Kluyveromyces lactis: one gene and its partners. The main gene of each other region encodes a partner of the protein of the gene in region 3 in a complex. Links are inferred from orthologs where the notes say so. Each region holds a gene or a part of one and is shown on either strand. Other genes may lie near its edges. The genes, in order: RSM18, MRP10 and NAM9.

Evidence for each region.
Region 1: NAM9 (region 3) and RSM18 share a complex: the UniProt entries of both Saccharomyces cerevisiae proteins name them as parts of the mitochondrial small ribosomal subunit. The link is inferred for Kluyveromyces lactis from reciprocal best matches to the Saccharomyces cerevisiae genes NAM9 and RSM18.
Region 2: NAM9 (region 3) and MRP10 share a complex: the UniProt entries of both Saccharomyces cerevisiae proteins name them as parts of the mitochondrial small ribosomal subunit. The link is inferred for Kluyveromyces lactis from reciprocal best matches to the Saccharomyces cerevisiae genes NAM9 and MRP10.

The regions. Positions count from the first base shown.
Region 1 is NC_006041.1:409,176-411,702, forward strand, and holds RSM18 (mitochondrial 37S ribosomal protein bS18m), read right to left. Parts: upstream 1,107-2,527; coding exon 639-1,106; downstream 1-638. Other genes in the region: protein kinase PKP1, read left to right, coding at 1-505; KLLA0_E04577g (uncharacterized protein), read right to left, coding at 1,336-1,722; KLLA0_E04599g (uncharacterized protein), read right to left, coding at 2,007-2,384. UniProt on the Saccharomyces cerevisiae protein: Component of the mitochondrial ribosome (mitoribosome), a dedicated translation machinery responsible for the synthesis of mitochondrial genome-encoded proteins, including at least some of the essential transmembrane subunits of the mitochondrial respiratory chain.
Region 2 is NC_006041.1:1,178,553-1,180,399, reverse strand, and holds MRP10 (mitochondrial 37S ribosomal protein mS37), read right to left. Parts: upstream 951-1,847; coding exon 663-950; downstream 1-662. Other genes in the region: FAD1 (FMN adenylyltransferase), read left to right, coding at 1-516; succinate dehydrogenase assembly factor SDH5, read right to left, coding at 1,270-1,761. UniProt on the Saccharomyces cerevisiae protein: Component of the mitochondrial ribosome (mitoribosome), a dedicated translation machinery responsible for the synthesis of mitochondrial genome-encoded proteins, including at least some of the essential transmembrane subunits of the mitochondrial respiratory chain.
Region 3 is NC_006037.1:1,006,619-1,009,871, forward strand, and holds NAM9 (mitochondrial 37S ribosomal protein uS4m), read right to left. Parts: upstream 1,951-3,253; coding exon 502-1,950; downstream 1-501. Other genes in the region: SRV2 (adenylate cyclase-binding protein), read left to right, coding at 1-295; EAF7 (Eaf7p), read left to right, coding at 2,342-3,253. UniProt on the Saccharomyces cerevisiae protein: Component of the mitochondrial ribosome (mitoribosome), a dedicated translation machinery responsible for the synthesis of mitochondrial genome-encoded proteins, including at least some of the essential transmembrane subunits of the mitochondrial respiratory chain.

The DNA of each region.
Region 1 (2,527 bases), on a different chromosome or scaffold from region 3:
AACGAACGAATTTGTTAACGATTTGACATTTATCAAATACGATAAGACCGTTCCAGTGAAAATTATGGAAGGGTCTGATGTGAAATTTTCATATATACCTACGGATCTAGAATACGTCCTTCAAGAATTGCTTAAGAACAGCTCGAGAGCACATATTGAAAACAACGTTGACAAAGATGTGGAAGTAACAATAGTGAAAAACGACGATCAACTTGAGATCAGAATCAGAGACTTCGGAGGCGGTATAGATCCACAGGTAGAAGACCGAGTCTTTGATTATTCTTTTTCCACAACGGTGAAGGAAGAGAAGGACAGCGGTATGAGCGATTATGTTTTACCTGGTCAAGAAGTCCAAAACGTTGCAGGTATGGGATTCGGACTTCCAATGTGCAAAGCGTACCTAGAGTTGTTCAATGGTACACTTGACATTCAGTCATTGTGGGGATGGGGTACTGATGTTTATATACGATTGCACGGTCCATCGGATAGACTATTCGACAAATGAGAACACTGTACTATCATTCAGTCCCGGAGCTTTCCATTGCAACGTGTTTATACTGTTAGCGCTATTTACAGATATAATCCTATTTATTGAGAAACATATATTCATATATACAAGAAGTTATCACATGTCATGATTAGCTTCTGTTTGCAGTTCTTTGAGGAAGCACCGATATGTCTTTGTGAACCTTAGACATCAAACCTATTGCTTGGCATCTCTTAATAGCCTTTGTTAGACGACGCTGGTTCTTAGCCGATAAACCAGTTACATCTCTGTGTAATATTTTACCCGTTGATGTCACAAATCTTGACAAGAACTCTGGGTTGGTGTATAAATCAAGTGGATTGATCTTCAATTTGTTGAATGGGTCAAACGATCCAGGACGTACCCCAAACTTCTTATCTAAATGTATTCTTTCTAAGGAGAAATCAAATGGATTGTAAACGGAGCCCGGCTGAAAGTTTTTGATTAACTTGGATTCTAGCTTCTTGATTGTGGGCTTGCTATTAGCTTCCGACATACCTTCTTTCAGAAGTTTTTGGTCAAGACTGTTGCAGACATATCTTGTGGTAGAAAAGAATCTTGCGCAGCTGCGGGAAAACATTTCTTCTGATGTGTTTTAATTTATTCAATCTCTCGTTAACAGGCGTAGAAAGGCCCGAGCGACTTGGTTGTTTTCCTTCTCTTGCTTGCTTAATATTCATGTTATTGAATAAAATTTTCCATGTTGAAAAGATCTCTAAATTTCAAAAAAAAAGAGATTGAAATAAAGGATACTTAAGTCATTGCCAGGCATTCAACCTTTTTCCTGTTGTCAACCCAGTTTACGCAGATCAACCTTGGAGGTGTAGCGCGATTGATCGGAAAGCTCTTGCAGGAAGTCGGGCATCCCTGTGGATCAAACCCGGCGCGCTCCAGCACCTACAGGCCGATGCAATCGGCCTCCTATTCTTTGACCTGGCCAAAACTGATGATCCGTTTGCTGGGTACCGGCGACGGTACCGCTGAGCGCTGCTATGCCGGCAGTCAGGTTGGTTATAGCCAGCAAAATGGAGCCGAGTGCCTACCCAGGTCAGCGGTGCGTTGCGCTTGGTCACGTGTGAGATTTCGTGTGCCAGCATCGAGGCTAGCTGGCTTTCATTGTCGGTAACCTGCAGCAGTAATGGATCTTTGATCAGCGGCGCGCTGGCGCGCTGCTGCCGCACGTAGAAATCGCCCATAGCCAGCCGTGGGCCACAATCAAACGTTTACCCCAGCTTTTCGGCAGGGTCTTGATTCTTGGCTGGATCTGATGGGAATAATGAATCAGTAAATAACTGCGATTCTGAACTAATTCGAGGATTTTATCAATATTGGTGTGATTTCCAATGTAACATCAATTCATCTATTATCAGTCAGTGTTCTATCCGCTCTGGTGGTTATTCAGGTTAAGTAGGTTAACATATAAACGTAACAACAAATTAAAAAGCTGGAAAATATTACTACTTTTCCAGCTTTCAATCCATTAATCGTTAAATACAAAACTTTCTTCAGCTAGATTGTGGTCTTTTCTATAACTCTCGTCCAATATTAAATAATCATCTGGTTGTTTAGAGCTTACTCCTTTCAACCAAAACTGTTCACCGTAAGCTATCAGCATTGCCCAATGATACTCAAGTTCATGGCTACGAAGACATACTGCCAGATAACTATCAATGGGCTTACATACTAATGAAGACGATAAAACCATTAATTCAGCCTCATCTTCTTTTTTATTTGCATACTTAACGATAATTGCTTTAAGCATTTCTACCCAAGTATGGAAATTAAAAACAACTGTTTCTTCAGGATCATCTTCGTCTTTAAAAACAACTCCATCAACAATTTTATCCTTATTAATCATTATCGACAACCTCTAACTTTAAATCTATCAAACAGCGCAGCTGCTTTCTTTCTACAAATAGCAAGTTGTGTCTCTTTAGATCTAGGAATGGCGAGGGGGGGTTAATAATTCTATTAATTGTATCAATTCTAATAATGATTATA
Region 2 (1,847 bases), on a different chromosome or scaffold from region 3:
CAGGTCGATATGCCAAGTGCCTTCAAGTCGTTCTTATCGGTACATCCAGAGACTCAGGCAATAGTAATCGGCATTAGACACACAGATCCATTTGGGGAGACGTTGCAACCAATTCAAAAGACGGACCCCAGTTGGCCCCAGTTCTACAGGTTGCAACCGTTGCTACATTGGAATCTCTCACAGATATGGAGTTTCCTATTGTATTCGGGAGAAGAAGTATGCGGATTATATGAGATGGGATTCACTTCATTGGGCAGTGTAAACAACACATTGAGAAATCCATACCTACGGATACCAGAACCTATAGGCTCCATGACAAAGGCCGAGACTGAACATAGCGATTTCCAATGGGAAATTGAAAACAATTACAGAGGAGATTCTAACATGCATTGTAACGAAATTAACGAGAATGACCTTAATACCATCAAACAGCATGATTCATCTGAGTTCCATCCGGGATGGTATCTAACGAAAGACGAGTGGGAAAGAGCTGGCAGACTCGCCAGAAAAGTTTGAGATGAATCCACTCACAAATAGCTACAAAAATCTCTATCATATTTAATAAATCGTGAATTCCTTGATTTTAGATGATATATGTAATATTAGAAAATGGTATTATGTACAAGTGATAACGAAGGGGGAGAAAGTCTGTCTGCTTCTTTCTAATCATGAGATTTTCCACCAACTCTATCGTACAATCTAGCAGCATGATAGTTGATATTACTCTTCTGGACTTTTTGGTTCTTACCTAAGGCATTTTCCGCGGTACATGCCTTCAAATCTTGGGCCAATGTCTCACATGCACCGTACATGTGTCCGTTAGAAGACCAGCATTGTAATAGATTGGACATCAATACCAAGCATCTGTTAGCCTCTTGTTGAATAATTGGCTTTTTCACCTTAAGTCTGGGAAGAGGTGGTAATTTATAAAGAGGAGTCTTACTGGACATGCTTTAATATATGAACACTTGATATCTTGGACGTACCCTTCGCAACACGACCTTACAAGACCTCTAGAACGGACTACGCGACTACATTTATGATATTTTCCATCATATAAACGATATCATTCTTTATGATCTTAACAAAATTTTTGAGACTTTCGCCAATGTTGGATCTAAGTATGCGGTGTACGGGTTAAATTTTTCACTTGGGCCTGCCCTGGAAATGATGAGCTGCCGCGACAGAGGGAGAGAGAGCATATGGGTATAAAATAAGAGCTATAGACTATACTGTTGCTTAATTGGCAAGTACGTATACCGCTGATGTTCAGTATTTGGAAAGATCAGGCATGCTTAGGATTTCACGATCCTTGTTCTTACTGAACTCTTGCAATTGTTTTAGAATATTGGAGTTCTTCCATCTGTCAGGAAGAGGTGTAATGGAATAGTTTTCTGTGGCCCAGTAGTAGATATCCCAATCTAGTTCGTTCAACAACTGGTCGTACTCTTCTAGTTGTTCTGGGGTCATTTCCTTTAAATACTTAGCAGCAAAACGTGACAAAAGTAAGTCTGTTTCCAGAATACCTCTCTTTCTGGACTGATAAATTAATCTAGCACGCTTCTTGTCTAGAGACTCGCCGGTTCTCTTGATAGGTGGGATTCTGATTCTCACCGTGACATCGTCATCTTGGCCCTCAGCACCGTTGCTGTTGCCCTTGTTCAACAAGTAAGCATTTGCGTGAAGAGAACGGCATTGCTTTGTAATCGAGTTAACTCCAGATTTCAACACTGATGGTTTGTTGAAGACAGTTCTTAGCATTATTAGATGACAGTGGTCGTTTGTTGACTGGACAGGTAGGGATAGTATAGAGGAGGGTATACTAGATATATGTAATACAAATTAGG
Region 3 (3,253 bases):
TTTAGTGCTAGATTCTTCCATCAGTGGTGTGGATATTATTAAATGTTTGAGATTTGGTATTCAAGTGGAAAACACCCTGCCACAAATCACCATCGACGCGTCTGATAGCGGCTCCATTTATTTGAGTAAAAACTCTTTACAGGCTCAAATTTTCACCTCTTCTAGCACTGGTATTAACATCAACACTCCAACTGGTCCCGATGGTGACTTCGTTGAAGTTCCACTTCCAGAACAGATGATACACACTTTCGTCGAAGGTAAACTACAAACCAAGATTTACGAACATGCTGGTTGAATATCTGAATAGTATATCTTCTCGTTACTGGGTGTTAGTTTATTCTTTACTCATTAGAACATATAAATATATATATATAATTAATATAATATGATACGATAAAATAATGATAATAATATGTACAAGGTTTCCAAGATACACCATTCTTTTTAAATTGTCATAGTCACAGTGTATCCATTCTTTCGTGTGTATTTGTTTTCGTCAACTTATTTACCCCTTCTCACATAGTACATGTATGAACGTTCATGTACAGGTAAGCCGAATGGAGTAATAACTTCAGATTGACCTGGACGTGCAACAGGGTCTCTTAAGTAGACCGCATGACATGTCTTGAATGATATTTCCAAATGGTGTGGTAGAATGGCGAATGGTGCTAAGAAGGGTCTTGGTTTCCACGGAGTGAAATATGGTTTAGATGGATCGTTACGACCAAACACACCCTTTTGCCATGGTAAATTGATAGCTTTTTGAGCAGCTGGTTCGTTTTCCAATAGTTCAGGAACATTGATCTTTTGATGCAATGGTAACTTTTCAGCCCACTTAGCATCGTATGGAATATCAACAGAATCAACGGATGCCATCTTGTCATTATAATGTTCTCTGACCACGGTTTCATAGAAATGTCTCAAATCAACTATAGTATGATTGATGGCTCTGAATTTTTTCTTTAAGGCATCGTTTGTGTTATCAACAGGTTTAGTTATTCCTGTAGCCACCTTTAGCAATTCACCTTGTTCATTAGGAATTTCAGCCAAAGGCTTCCCTGCTATCGTTTCCACAGCCTTGGCAGACTTGACTTCTCTATAAATTTCGAATCCTTTAGCTGCCAAATTTTCGTTATTGTAAAATTCGCCCAAGAAATCTTTTACTGCCAATTTTTCTACATCGTTAACGCGGTTAACGGTAGAAAAGATCTTAGCTAACAAATACTCGTTACTGGTTTGGTCTAATTCTTTCCTCATTTGAATGTGCATGGTTTTGTTGTAGTTTTCGAGGAAGGATAAAAATTCCTGTTTCTTTGGATCGTTACTATCCATAGTTCTTAGTTTTTCGATCTTTTCATCCCAGAACTTTCTAGGATTCTTTCTAGCCTCTAGAATATATTTGTTCCATAGGAAAATTTGGGTATTATCCACTTTCAAAGCTTCCTTCAAGCTAGGTTTCTTGGCACCAAGAGCTTGTAGCACTTTTTCGGGTCTGACGTTGAAAACATCACCAGCTTTCAAGGCATATCCCGGAGAAGTAATCTTTACACCATTCACATGGACGTTGCCATGTAAAATAAACTGACGAGCTTGTCTCACTGACGAGGCAAACATAGCTCTAAACAAAGCAAAGTCTAGCCTTTTCTCTAGTACAGCGTATGTTTGTAATAGAATGGGCGTCGGTTCGATATCACCACCCCTTAGAGAAGCATCTAATTGAGCCACAGAGTTTAGCTGAGGCTCGAAAACAGACTGCCACCTACTCTCTGTTAAATGTTCGCCATGGTAGGCACGAGTTTCCTGTTTAGAAGTCCATTTCTGTTGGTATAGTGTTTTCGATCTAAAACTGACCTGAGATTTCTTATACAAGTTGAACAAATTGTACTTGTTAAAAGAGGTACGAACCTTCCCTCTGGACAAAGAGTTCAGAAGTACAGCTTTCCTAGGCATTGCTGGTCTTTTTCTTCACAATGTATTGACAAAACTAACCAGAATTGACTGCTTACGGACTCTTCGAAATGGAAATACATTGCATATCCGAACTACCTGCATAATATTTTTCAATCAAACGCTATCTAATGCTTGAAGCTTTCCGATATTGAAAAATTTTTAGAGGAATTTCGTGACATATGATATCAAATATTAGCATTCATAGTTTAGAAAGATGAGAAACACCATAGAACCATATTGAGATGGACTGGCGAAGATGGTATCAAGCCTCATACGATCTGCTTTATCAGCGATCTTGATAGGAACTTTATTATATCAATTGCAAGAACGTTCTTTTGGTGTATAAGGTTGTGATACTTCAGATAAAAGTAATACGATACGGTTCACTGCGATGTCCGCTGTAAAGATAGAATCACCTAGAGGGCAAACATGGAGTAAAGTGGAGGAAATAAGGCTGTTTAAATGGATGATGCTGTTCAAACCTGCAGGAATACATAAACACTTCCATATGGTGTGTTTGCTTGAGCGATTGAACAAGCCAGATCAGTATCCAATCAAACTTTTGCAAAGCGATAAAGGCAGCTCAGATAAAGTGTTTTCTGGGGAGGACGTTTGGGAACAATTGAGTCGGTACTATAATTTAGAGAAGGCAGATGAAGTAGAGAACCAGCCATACCCTGAATTTTATAATGATGACGGACCAACCGAAACTACAAACAAAAAGACAGAAGGGGACGCTCAACTAGATAATGATGATGACAGTGACAATGATGTTGACAATTGTGACGAGCTTAAGAGAAATATAATACCATTACAAAATAGACTCCAGCAAGAGACGGAATTTGAACTATCGTGGGAAGATTATGGAGAACTTATGTTAGAACATGCTAGGGATCATGAGGTGGAAGATATTAAGCAAGAGGAGACCGCTTCTGCGGATGACAAGGCAAAACTGAAGGGTGCGGAATCACAGGATACGCAAGTAGAACAAGAGTCAGAAGAGCCACGGGAACGAGAAAAGGATATCGATGAAAAGGATACTGAGCAAAATAATGTACAGGCGAAACAAGAAATGGCGACCACTCCGCCAGTCAGTGTTGGAGAATCTGTGAGCGAACTGGCGAATGAACCTGTCGATGAACCTGTCGATGCTCATAAGAAACCAAGGACAAGACGCTCTACAAGGTTGACACGTTCACAAAAGCGAGGCATTGATGACGAAAGTGAAAACAAAGAAGACCAACCCCATGGCGGAAACACCGATGAAAAGGAAGATGTCGAACACGATACAGAAGGGAGATCT